Linked DNA regions of Callithrix jacchus. The protein of the gene in region 1 binds, or shares a complex with, the protein of each later gene. Links are inferred from orthologs where the notes say so. Each region holds a gene or a part of one and is shown in the gene's direction. Other genes may lie near its edges.

Evidence for each region. The genes of interacting proteins can lie anywhere in the genome.
Region 2: PPIL2 (region 1) and CRIPT share a complex: the UniProt entries of both Homo sapiens proteins name them as parts of the minor spliceosome. The link is inferred for Callithrix jacchus from reciprocal best matches to the Homo sapiens genes PPIL2 and CRIPT.
Region 3: PPIL2 (region 1) and EFTUD2 share a complex: the UniProt entries of both Homo sapiens proteins name them as parts of the minor spliceosome. The link is inferred for Callithrix jacchus from reciprocal best matches to the Homo sapiens genes PPIL2 and EFTUD2.

Annotation. Positions count from the first base shown.
Region 1 is NC_133502.1:193,648,654-193,652,214, forward strand, and holds part of PPIL2 (RING-type E3 ubiquitin-protein ligase PPIL2), read left to right. Parts: intron 1-2,222; coding exon 2,223-2,314; exon of another isoform or gene 2,315-3,334; intron 3,335-3,340; coding exon 3,341-3,430; intron 3,431-3,561. UniProt on the Homo sapiens protein: Has a ubiquitin-protein ligase activity acting as an E3 ubiquitin protein ligase or as an ubiquitin-ubiquitin ligase promoting elongation of ubiquitin chains on substrates.
Region 2 is NC_133515.1:68,132,410-68,136,607, reverse strand, and holds the start of CRIPT (cysteine-rich PDZ-binding protein), read left to right. Parts: upstream 1-1,340; 5' UTR 1,341-1,439; coding exon 1,440-1,455; intron 1,456-2,876; coding exon 2,877-2,942; intron 2,943-3,695; coding exon 3,696-3,750; intron 3,751-4,198. Other genes in the region: PIGF (GPI ethanolamine phosphate transferase, stabilizing subunit), read right to left, coding at 685-939. UniProt on the Homo sapiens protein: As a component of the minor spliceosome, involved in the splicing of U12-type introns in pre-mRNAs. Involved in the cytoskeletal anchoring of DLG4 in excitatory synapses.
Region 3 is NC_133506.1:85,306,897-85,310,884, reverse strand, and holds the start of EFTUD2 (116 kDa U5 small nuclear ribonucleoprotein component), read left to right. Parts: upstream 1-1,130; 5' UTR 1,131-1,205; intron 1,206-3,988. UniProt on the Homo sapiens protein: Required for pre-mRNA splicing as component of the spliceosome, including pre-catalytic, catalytic and post-catalytic spliceosomal complexes. Component of the U5 snRNP and the U4/U6-U5 tri-snRNP complex, a building block of the spliceosome.

The DNA of each region.
Region 1 (3,561 bases):
AGGGAATGTGGTGGTCTGGAGGGATTTGTCGGGTAGCTCTCAGGCTGGGCGTTTCCTCACTACAGCTCATAGGGCCTAGCCCAGCCCAGCCCAGCTCAGCAGCTCCTGCTTCATGTCCCTTACACACGTTGCGCTGCTCTTGTGGTCAGATTCTTAAATGAGGTACACAGCTCACCCCTGCCCAGGTGCTGACCTTGTCCTAGGTTCTAGCACAGGTCTTCTGCCCTTGCAGATCCCATGATTTAGGGGTTGTCCATGCTCACTGGGTGCATGCATTCCAGGGAGATGCTGTAGCATGTGAGGCCATGGCCCTTTTGCCCCACTTGTCTGAGCCTAGAGCCCGGTTCCTAGCTGATGCTGCGTTCGCAGGTAAATGAGTGAGTGAACTTCAGCATGTCATTGACAAAGGTGGAGGACAGGGAGCTGCACCCTGGTGGCCGAAGGTGGGCTGCCTCCCTGTCTGTGATCAGCAGTGTATGTCTCTCATTCAGCAAATATTTATTGAGTGCCTGCCATGTGCAGAGAGCACAACAGGCTGAGTCTTTGCTGAGAGGAGCATGTGTTCTGGTGGGGAAGAACGCCAGAGAGCAGCTCAGCAGGGTATGCCAGAGGCTGCTTCCGTGTGGAGAGCACAGCAAGGAGAGGGCCGCCCTGACACACTTCAGGGAGGGAGAGCCATGAGAGGCTCAGGGGAGCGCAGGGCTGGGCCGATGGCACAGCCAGTGCAAAGACCCCGAGGTGGGCACATGCTTGAGGGTGTCTGTGCCCAGCCAGGAGTCCAGTATGTCTGGTACAGCATGTGCTAATGATGAAAGCAGGGGATGTGGTGACAGGTTGGGGCAGGGACAGGTGCAGAGCAGTCCTGTGGGCCCTGGGAGCCACAGGAGGACTTGGGCTTCTGCCCAAGATGGGAGCCACTGAGGGAGGGGTGAGGTCTGGCTTTTTTTTTTTTAAACTTTGACATGGCAATTAGCTTCTTTTCTTTTGTTTCCTTTTTTTTTTTTTTTTTTTTTGAAATGGGGTCTCACTCGGTCACCCAAGCTGGAATGCAGTGGTACAGTCTCAGCCCACTGCAATCTCTGCCTCCTTGGCTCAAGAAATCCTCCCACCTCAGCCTCCCAAGTAGCTGGGACTACAGGCACCACCACTGCACCCAGCTAATTTTTGTGTTTTTTGTAGAGACAGGGTTTTACTGTTGGCCAAGTTTACTCCTGGGTTCAAGCAATCAACTCACCTCAGCCTCCCAAATGCTGGGATTACAGGCCAGTCTGCTTTGTTTCTTTGTTAATTGGAATTATTCTTCGTGGATGAAAGTGGAGAGAGGAAGTGTGATGTGCCTCCCCTGTGCCCATCACAGACTCCAGCCCCTGCCGCAGACTCCTGCCTGGGCACAGACATACCTTCCCTGGCATTATAGGCATGAGCCACTGTGCCCCGCCCCAGCTAATTTTTTTTATTTTCATTTTTGTAGAGATGAGGTCTCCCTAAGGGCTCAAGTCCCCACCCAGTGGGGACTTAACAGGCAGAGAGACAGTAACCAAGGCTTGGGAGGCTAAGGTAGGCAGATGGCTTGAGGTCAGGAGTTCCGGACCAGTCTGGCCAACATGGTGAAACCCTGTCTCTACTAAAAATACAAAAATTAGCCATACGTGGTGACGCATGCATGCCTGTGGTCCCAGCTACTTGGGAGTCTGAGGCAGGAGAATCACTTAAACCCCGGAGGCAAAGGTTGCAGTGACCTGAGATCACGCCACTGTACTCTAACCTAGGTGACACAGCAAGACTCCATCTCAAAACTGAACAAAACAAAAAAAGAGACAGTAGCCGGGCAAGGGGATGGGCAGTTCTGAAGGAAGATCTGAGCAGGGGGTTGGCGGGGAATGCGGGTAAGAGGTGGAGCCGTCAGGACTGGAGCATGGGTTGTTTCTTGCTGAGGGCCAACTTCAAGAAGAGGAGGAGACTAGCATGGCGGTCAGCAGAGGTGTGCTGGAGGATGTGAGGAAGATGCTGCAGGGACTGGGCCTTGCGGGATGAATAGGAGTTTCCTAATGATATGGAGGGGCTTGAGGGGCTAAGCAGCTGTCCCCTTGGTTCCCTACTCTGGCAGTTGACGGGGTTCCACCTCCTCCCATCGCTAACTTTGGCCGCGTTCTGTCCTGACTTGTCCTGGCCCCAAGTGCCCACAGAGGTGACTGGCCTCCCCGTGTGTGCCTTCTCTCTAGGGAAGTACCACTGCCCAGTGCTGTTCACCGTGTTCACCAACAACACCCACATCGTGGCTGTGAGGACGACCGGCAACGTCTACGCCTACGAGGTGTGTCCTTGCTCCAGGGCCTGGAGACCACGGTGGGGAGATCTCTGCTGTGTGTTCCCAGGATACATGGGCTGGGCTGTGCTGCGGGCATGGCCTGTCTTTGTGGGGTTTACAGTCACAGCCACAGGCACCGGCCTCTGCCAAAGCTCTGGCATGACAGCCTCCCAGATTTCAGGCAGGTCAAGAATAGGGTTGGGGGAGCTGCATCCTTTGGAATCAGGCAGTCCTGGCTGGCAAGCAGGGACCCTTATCTCGCAGGGGGTCCTTCTGCATCTTCAGCAAAACCTAGGTGCTGGGAAGGCACCGTGCTCTGAGAACGGTGTGAGAGGAGTGCTGGCCCTGGCTCTCGATGGAGCCAGTTGTGTCCAGGAAGGAGCTGTCCCCTGGAGGAGTTCTGTCTGGGAGTGGGTGTAGGAAGAGAGGAGGCAGCCATGTTCACACATGGGTCCTCCTCTCAGGGGTGAGGCGGGACAGGCCCTATGTGGCAGGAAAGCCCCGACCTTTGTGCCATTTTCAGTCCTGCACCAGGACATTGGTGGAGTATAGGTGGCCAGCGCTGCTCCAGGGACCTTAGGGGCTACTTCTTGCCAGAAGCCTACATAGACTGGCATGGTTGGTCCTCGTAGTGGATTGAGGACTCTGCTATACTGGGCCCCAGGAGTGCAGGCATCTCATGTGCACAGCCCCTGCCCACAGGCCTGGCACCATGCCTGTGCATGGGAAGTAGTCAGTGAAGGCTTCAGCGAGTGGGTGGGTGGCTCGCCCAGCCACTTTGCTGATCAATATGTAGACAAGAGCTTCCTGCAGGAAGGTTGCTGCAAGGCTGAACTGGCACATCGTCTGATGCCCAGCCAGCTCCGCCTTTGTGGGGGCCACTGCTTTCAATCAGTGGGGTGAACACTGCTGTCTCTCTCGTTCCTCGCCTCTCAAATGGTGTCATGGTGCCAGTTCTGGGCCTCCCTGCTCGCAGGCTCCTGTGCCAAGGCTTGGGGCATGCATCGTAACACCACTTCTTCCTGGCTGTAGGCAGTGGAACAGCTAAATATCAAGGCCAAGAACTTCCGGGACCTGCTAAGCGATGAGCCCTTCTCCCGGCAGGACATCATCACCCTCCAGGTGAGTGTCCCCTGCCCACCTGCCCCAGCTGCCTTCAGTGTCCACAGCCAGCCCAGGCCTCTGCAGGGGCCACCTCCGTAGCCTGGCTCTCACATCTCCCTGATCCCCGACCCCCATGTCAGGGCCCCTCA
Region 2 (4,198 bases), on another chromosome or scaffold:
AGAGCATATGCAATAATGACTTTTTCCATTGTCCAAAATGTTTCAACCCCTACAAATAAGTCATAAAGTCAATTTCCTATGGGCAATGTATTTGTTTCAAAACACCTGGACCTTATAATAGGTGAAGGGGAGAAAGGCAGCAAATCACACTGCCACGTGTGTACCTATGCAACAATCTTGCATGTTCTTCACATGTACCCCAAAACCTAAAATGCAATTTAAAAAATTGCTCTCACTTAATTCACCCAATGCTTTTCAAAGGCAGATACTTTACTGATAAGGAAACACGACAAACAGGTAAGGAGGTCCAAGTTCTCAAGAGCTACAGCCCTCTCTCTGGTACAACGAAATAAAGGGATGGAGAAGGAAACGGATGGCAAGAAGGGACAAAGGGAAAGTTTCCTATAGATTCTATCTTAAGCTGATTGAGGGAGGGCAATCATCAGGAATCCATCCTCACAACAAACCCTTCATCCATTTTTCTGAGCCACCCTCGGAATCGCAGCTGCCAACAGGAGATGCTCCTACAATAAGCAGGAACCAAACTCAAATGTTTGCTGAACGAATGAAGGAACCAGAGTATGTAAAGTGGGAAACTAACTCTCCTGGGAAACCCACACCGTGTTAGGCCCTGGCGTGCCCCCAGGACACCTACAAGGGTGCCACGGGTATGACCTGGCCCACCTCGCTAGGCACCGCAGCAGAGAGACGGCGCTTCCGAGCGGCCCCCAGAGGAGCCCTCGCGGGCATCGCCGCACCTTCACTGGCAGCCCCACCCCAACCTGGGTCGCTCGGGATTCTGCCCGAGCCTAGGCCGGCGCGAGCGTCGACAGCCAGGAACCAGCAGAGAGGCAGGATCAAAGAGCACGGGAGTTGGAGACAAGGGAAAACTGGGGGACAGAGGCAGAAACTCGGATCCGAAAGGGGGGGTCTGTCCATCAGAGCACGCCGGAAGAGTGGCGCTCGAGCTGAGGGCGAGAGCGGGCGGGCCGGGACGCCAAGGCTCACGGCTGCTACGGCAGTTCGCGGGGGTGGCTTGCACCCCGGGGGGCGAGATCGCCGGGGGCGTACATTGGGGCTTACCTAACTCTCCCACCCGCGGAAGGGAAGCGGGGAACTACTGCCTCCTACCATCAGGTACGACGTGCTACCCAGGCCCACCCGCAAGCGCAGGGTTAAGGGGCGGAGATCCAGGGCCGCATAGCCAGTAGCAGAAAGAGAGGGGCGGGCAGATGGGGCAGCCCCGCCTAGACGCTCCCGTTCATTCCTCCCGCGGCCTTCCAAGTTTGGGCTAGACCGGAGCGGCGTGCTTAGAAGCCGGAAGTGGGTTGACGTAGCCCGGAAGGGGAAGCCGTCCGGGTTTTAGTTTTGATGTTTTCGGGCTGCTGTTGCTGCTGCTGCTGCTGCTGTTGCGGCTAGGGGAACCGTCGTGGGGAAGGATGGTCTGCGAAAAATGTGAGTTAAGGGGCTCCTCCTGCGGGAGGAAGAAACTGGGGGAACCTAAATGAACTCTCCCGGGAACTCTGCCTTCTCTTTTGTTTTTTCTTCGCCCACATCTTTGATTCTAGTCGCTGTCCTTCTGCTCTACCCTTTGACCATTTTTGCACCTCCCCAAAGACCATATAGTCCTATAGTATATTTTGTTTTCAGAATGGTCTTAGTTCTGCATCTCCTTGTCTATTTCCATTGCCTTCCCCCAGCTCCAGATCTCATCAGCTCCCCTCCCGTATAAAAATGTTCAGTTAAACCCCAATCACACCTTTCCCTCTTGCAATTCCTGACCTTTCCTTTTTATTCATGTAACACACTAGAACCAAAGACCAAGGACCTCGTCTTACTCATTCCTGTTAGTCATTATGCCAGAATATGGCTTAGAGTAAGCCCAGAAGATGTGTGAATTGAACATCAACGCAAGTGCAAGTTACTATTTCCCTAATTTAACACCTTTAATAAATTCTCAGTGTGCAGAGAACAATGTGGGGATTCTGTATTTGGAGCCTGACGTTCAGGACCCTCCGCAATAAGGCCCCAACTTATTTTTCCAGCTTCATCTTCACTGATCCTTACCCTCTTCACACTTTGACCAAACGTAACTACCCTTTGTGCCCATGTGTACTCGGAGCTTTCCATGCCTTTCCTCAGAATGTGTCCTTTATCAGTCTGCCTTTATCCTCTTTACTCCTTTTTGTTCACAGTCCTATTGCCACATATTCAAATCCTCTCTCTTGCCTTCTCCCCAAACTTTCTTGGATTTCCTTAGCCAGGGTTATATCTTCCTGCATGGAATTTCACCTAGTACTTTAGCTCTCAATTATTACACCGTTTAATTTTTAGCTTATATTTTGGTTGAATGATTCTCAGGTTCTCTCTGAGAATCTGAAGAAAGCTATAGACTCTTGCCAGGAAAGAAAAAAAAAAGATATATAAAAGGTTTGTGTACAATTCTGCCTTGTTCACATATCTCTTAAGATCGACCTGTGGAACATAGATTAAAGATTGCTGTTAAACTACTGTACTATAATCTCTTTAAAATTTTGTCTGATTCATCACTTATTTTTTTCAGTAATTTGTATAGTTTATACATCATAGATGCTTAGTAAATATGTATGGAACAAATAGACTTGCCAGATTTGTTTAAAGTATAAACAAACAGAGAAAGCTTATTATAAGCCATCTTATTATCCTACGGATTTTACTGTGGATCAGTCATTCATTGCCCACAGTTAATACAAGTCTCAGTTCACTGACTGCTCTCCCAGCATTAACAGGCTCCTGCAGTAATAGGACTGTTGATACCATTGTGAACCTTAGGCACAATGTGATGCACTTATGAAATACTAAATTTTAAATTGCTTTTTACTATCTTATTATAACAGGTGAAAAGAAACTTGGTACTGTTATCACTCCAGATACATGGAAAGATGGTGCTAGGAATACCACAGGTATTTCTTCTTTTAGAAAATAGGAATTTAACCAGAGACTCCTGTGAATATTTTATCTTTTACGTTATTTGTAAAATGAAATGTGTTCAAAGTATTTTGTCTATTAAACATGAAAGAATCCTGGGTCCCCAAGTTATTTAATATCTTCTACTTAGTTCTGTTACTTGTACAGGTTCCTAACATCAGGAGATAGCAAAATTATTAAATGATTGTCAAGTGGTGACAGTATCATAATATTTGATTTGATTCAGCTTATTTAGAGACTGCATTTAATTTCTCCGCTCTTCTGAGGAGAAATTTTTTTAAATCTGGTTTTTATATTCTTGAATAAATCCTTTAACCCATTTTACCTTCATTATCATTAATTACTTACAGTGAAGTATTTACCTTCATTATCATTAAATACATAAAGTATGTTTTCGAAGGGAAAGAAAAGAAACATAGACATTCAAGGTCTATGACACTGAAGTAGTGGGTTCTAGATTTTACAGTATATCAAGTAAATATAGACCCATTCCTAAGGTACTACCTTGAGTCTGAAAAATAAAATGATTGTATTTTATACAAATTTTTATTGTTTCTCTAATAAATGTTTTCTTTTTAAGCAGCGTCTTAATAACCTGACTGTTAAATGAAGATTTAAAAATTAGATATAGGCTACTAGTTTGGCAGAAAGTCAGAGAATGAACTTCTTAATGTTATATGTTAAATGTATAGAAGTAACCCTTTAAAATAACTTCTATTTTGATACAGAAAGTGGTGGAAGAAAGCTGAATGAAAATAAAGCTTTGACTTCAAAAAAAGCAAGGTGGGTAAGAGGATCCATAGAGAAGTCATATAATTTTCACTCTTTTAATGTTAAGCCTACTGGAGTGAATTTGATGTGCATCATTCCAATTGCAATAAAACATAGAGTTAGGTGGTTCCTGGCACTCAGAACCAAGCTATTTGTTATAACCTGCTGGTTTTACCTTATTCCTCCTTACTGTATGTCCCCCTCTGACTTCATATTGTACCATACTCCTCCTCATTCATCATATGCCATCCTCATTGGTTCTGCCAAGCCTCCCCCATCCAAAGAGATTTGTCCTTGCTGCTGTGTCCTCGAGGTCTTTACTGAGAGCTTACGTATCTGGCTCCTTGGTGTTTGGGTCTCAGCTGAAGGGTCTTTTCTCGGAGAGGTTTCCCTAATCAGCCTGTAAACTAATTTCTTCTTTCCTTTTCCTCATCTCTGCCTTCATATTCTGTTAGAATTG
Region 3 (3,988 bases), on another chromosome or scaffold:
GAGCTGAGGATAACGTTTCATTCTCATTAAATCTCCTTAATGGGGAAGGAGACTTTCACCCAAACCAAATGCAATGACTGAGCAGGAAATCAAGTAGAAGGAGCAGAGGAAGGAGCTCAATGACCCAATCCCCAAATCCCTTTGTCCAGCCCAGGGCTCACTGTGTTGCCCAGGATAAAGTGCAGTGGCACGATCTCGGCTCACTGCAACCTCTGCCTCCCGGGTTCACGCAATTTTCGTGCTTCAGCCTAGGACTGGGACTACTAGCTGGGACTACAGGCATGCGCCACCACGCCCGGTCAATTTTTGTATTTTTAGTAGAGACGGGGTTTCACCATGTTGCCCAGGTTGGCCTCGAACTCCTGACCTCAAGTGATCTGCGCGGTTCAGCCTCCCAAAGTGCTGAAATTACAGGCGTGAGCCACCGCGCCCGGCCTGCAGAGAGATTCTCTACGTGGGTTCTAGTCAGGGTTCTGACATTTACTTGTGGGACCTCTCTGAACTGCAGATTCCTGGTGAGTTGAGCTAGATTTTGTGGCAGTCATCACGAACAGTTCCAGCGCAAGGAAGCAGGAGGTCCTCAACTAATCCCATAGCCACCCTACCCCAAAGTGAGGAATCTGAACGCCAAGAAGGGGCTGGGCTGGTCAGTAACCGAACTCAGGTGTCCAGTTCTCAACCCTTCCCAGACATTTAATAAGTAAAACTAACCCTTCCGCCCCCTTACTCAGCCTCCCGGACCTTCACCCCAACAGCCCCGGCCTTGGTCGCCCTGCTTTGTTTGGGGATTCCCTGATAAGCCAGAACAGTAGAGCAGCCCAGCACAGACCACGCCCCGCAGCTGTGGCTGCCCAGCAACTTCTCTAACAGCCTAACCACGTGATCTGCCTGAAGGCCCCCCCTTTCCGGGTGGTCCCGAGGCGCCTGATCAGATTCGTGTGTCCTCAGTTCTCACCCTCTTTAAAGCAGCCCACGTCTTAGGCTTCTCGTCTTGGGGACCCTCTGCTCCGCTGTGCCAATTCTTGTCTGCGCGGCAGGCATACCTCGAAACTGGTCCTCAGGCAGAGGGTTGTCCTCCCGGGCAGAAAGGCGACCGCGGCGTCTTCGGGGTCCTTTCTGGCGGCGGGCGCAGACGTTTCCTTGGCGTGGGGCGGAAGCGCGGTCTTCGGCGGCGGCCTAGGAACTCTCAGCTGAGCAGGCGGGAGGTAGGTTGAAGCAGATCTGCGGTACGGAAGGGTTGCTCCAGGTGGGACAGGAATTAAAGAGCGTCAGATCTGGAAGAGGCCTTATATACTGTCTGCCCCTTTCGCTTTACGGATGGGTAAATTGAGGCCTGGAGCGGGAAAAAGAATGGAAGACCCTCTCCTCCGCGTGTCTCCCCCAGGCTTCCGAAGCGCACACACCTCGATTCTGGGGATACCTCTATAGCCTCCGTCCGTAAAATCGCATCCCTAGGAAGGAGCGGTGCTCTAACTGTCCAGTCCCCTCGCTCACTCCCTCTTCCATTTGTGCCGCCTTCAGCCCTTCTATGCCAGGTTCCCTCCGACGTTCCCTTTGAGCTCCTGTATCGGAGCGGGAAGCCGCAGTGAGGTTTGTTTCCATGAGTCGCTAGTTTTGTGTAACTAGCTTGGCTTATTCCATGAACAGCTTTCTACAAAAATGTCTTCAATCGGCCAGGCACGGTGGCTCACGGCTGTAATCCCGGCACTTTGGAGGCCGATGCAGGCAGATAACCTGAGGTCAGGAGTTCGAGACCAGCCTGACCAAAACGGTGAAACACCCCCCCCCCTACTAAAAATACAAAAAAAATTAGTCGGGTGTAGTGAGTGGTGCACGCCTGTAGTCGCAGCTACTCTGGAGGCTGAGGCAGGAGAATCGCTTGAATCCAGAAGGCAGAGGTTGCAGTAAACCGAGATAGTGCCATTGTACTTCAGCCTGGGCAACGAGAAGGAAACTCTGTCTCAATCAATCAATCAATCAATCAATAACTAACTAACTAATTAACTAACTAACTTTCTTCAGTTACTTGATTGGGGTCTTGGGAGAATGAGATAAGCATAAATGCAACAGTAGCTTTTTGGAAGTAAAAAGAATCACTATATAGGTGAAAGTTTCCATAATAATTTACATTTAATTATTGGTCCTTAGAGCTTTAATTATCTATCTACATTGAGCACCCAGCAGGTGGCATTGAGGGAGATGGAGGTATCAGTCTAATGCAAGAAATATCAGCATCTTAAATTTTTCTTTTTTAAAATTTAGAGATGCGGTCTCCATGTTGGCCAGACTGGTCTCAAACCCCTGACTTCAGGGGATCTGCCCACCTTGGCCTCCCAAAGTGCTGGGATCACAGGCGTGAGCCGCTGCGCCCGGCCCAGCATCTTAAAATTAAACATCCCATTCAGTTAACATTTATCCAGTTCCTACTTACACAAGGTGCCGTCTTGGCCATTGGCTGTATTAACATTGGTACTTTTTGCTCAACTATTTAAAAATGTAAAATGCGGCCAGGTGTGGTGGCTCACACCTGTAATCCAAGCTCTTTGAGAGTCCAAGGCAGACGGATCACCTGAGGTCAGGAGTTCAAGACCAGCCTGGCCAACATAGTGAAATCCCGTCTCTACTAAAAACAAAAATTAGCCAAGTGTGGTGGCACACACCTGTAATCCCAGCTACTTGGGAGGCTGAGGCAGGAGAATTGCTTGAACTTGGGAAGTGAAGGTTGCAGTGAGCTGAGATCATGCCACTGCACTCCAGCCTGGGCAACAGAGTGAGACTCTGTCTCAAAAAAATAAAAAAGTAAAATGCATTCTTAGCTGCAAAAACAGGTGGAGGGGCCAGATTTGGCCACAGGTCAGAGTTTGCCAACTCTTGCACTAAAGTATTAGGAGGTGAAAAGGCATTGTGTCAGCAGCTTACTGTCAAATCATTTGGGAAAAAGAAAGCTATTTGTACTGTTCTTGCCACCTTTTGGTATTATTTTAATAAAATTAAATTTAGTATCATAAAAGAAGTGAAGGGAAGAAGTGGGTACATGGAACACAGGGCTCTAATGTTCAAGAATGACAAAAAATGGTGCTAGCTAACGTTTGTTGAGTCTGGGACTCTGCCACATTCTTTACACAGTGTGATTTATTTAATTCTCAACCATTTATGCAGTGAGGATTGTTCATTCTATTTTCCAGTTGAGGGATCATGTTCGGAGAGATGCACTAATTTACCTGAAGTCACGTAGTTTTTAGTGACAAAGTTGGGATTTGAATCTTAAGTCTTCTGACTCCAGATCCCTAATGCTCTAGTCTGTTATTTATTGCTTGTAAACTATAGTTGGTGATGGTAATTAGTACAGTCACCTACTATTTAAGACAAAATTAAATACTGATAAAAGTGGAAAAGGTTCTACAGGATAGGGGAATGAGAAATTGAAGAGCTAGGAAAGCTTGAAGGAGGTGGCATTTGAACTGTTTCTTTTTGTTGTTGTTGTTTTGAGACGGAGTTTCACTATTGTTACCCAGACTGGAGTGCAGTGGCATGATCTCGGCTCACCGCAACCTCTGCCTCCTGGGTTCAAGCAATTCTCCTGCCTCAGCCTCCCGAGTAGCTGGGACTATAGGCGCACACCACCATGCCCAGCTAATTTTTGTATTTTTAGTAGAGACAGGGTTTCACCTTATTGACCAGGATGGTCTCGATCTCTTGACCTCGTGATCCACCCGCCTTGGCCTCCCAAAGTGCTGGGATTATAGGCGTGAGCCACAGTGCCTGGCTGAACTGTTTCTTTGAATAGAATTTTAATACTTGAGGTTGAGAAAACCCACAAAACTCTACTTAATTACAAAGGGAAAATGAGTAACTTTACAATGGCGCACCTGGTAAACATTACCTTAATGAAGTGATCAAAGTTACCATTACCACTAATGGGGCAAATTGAAATCGTGTATCACCTGATAGGAAATGCACTGAGAAGAGCACAGCATCACTTCTATTA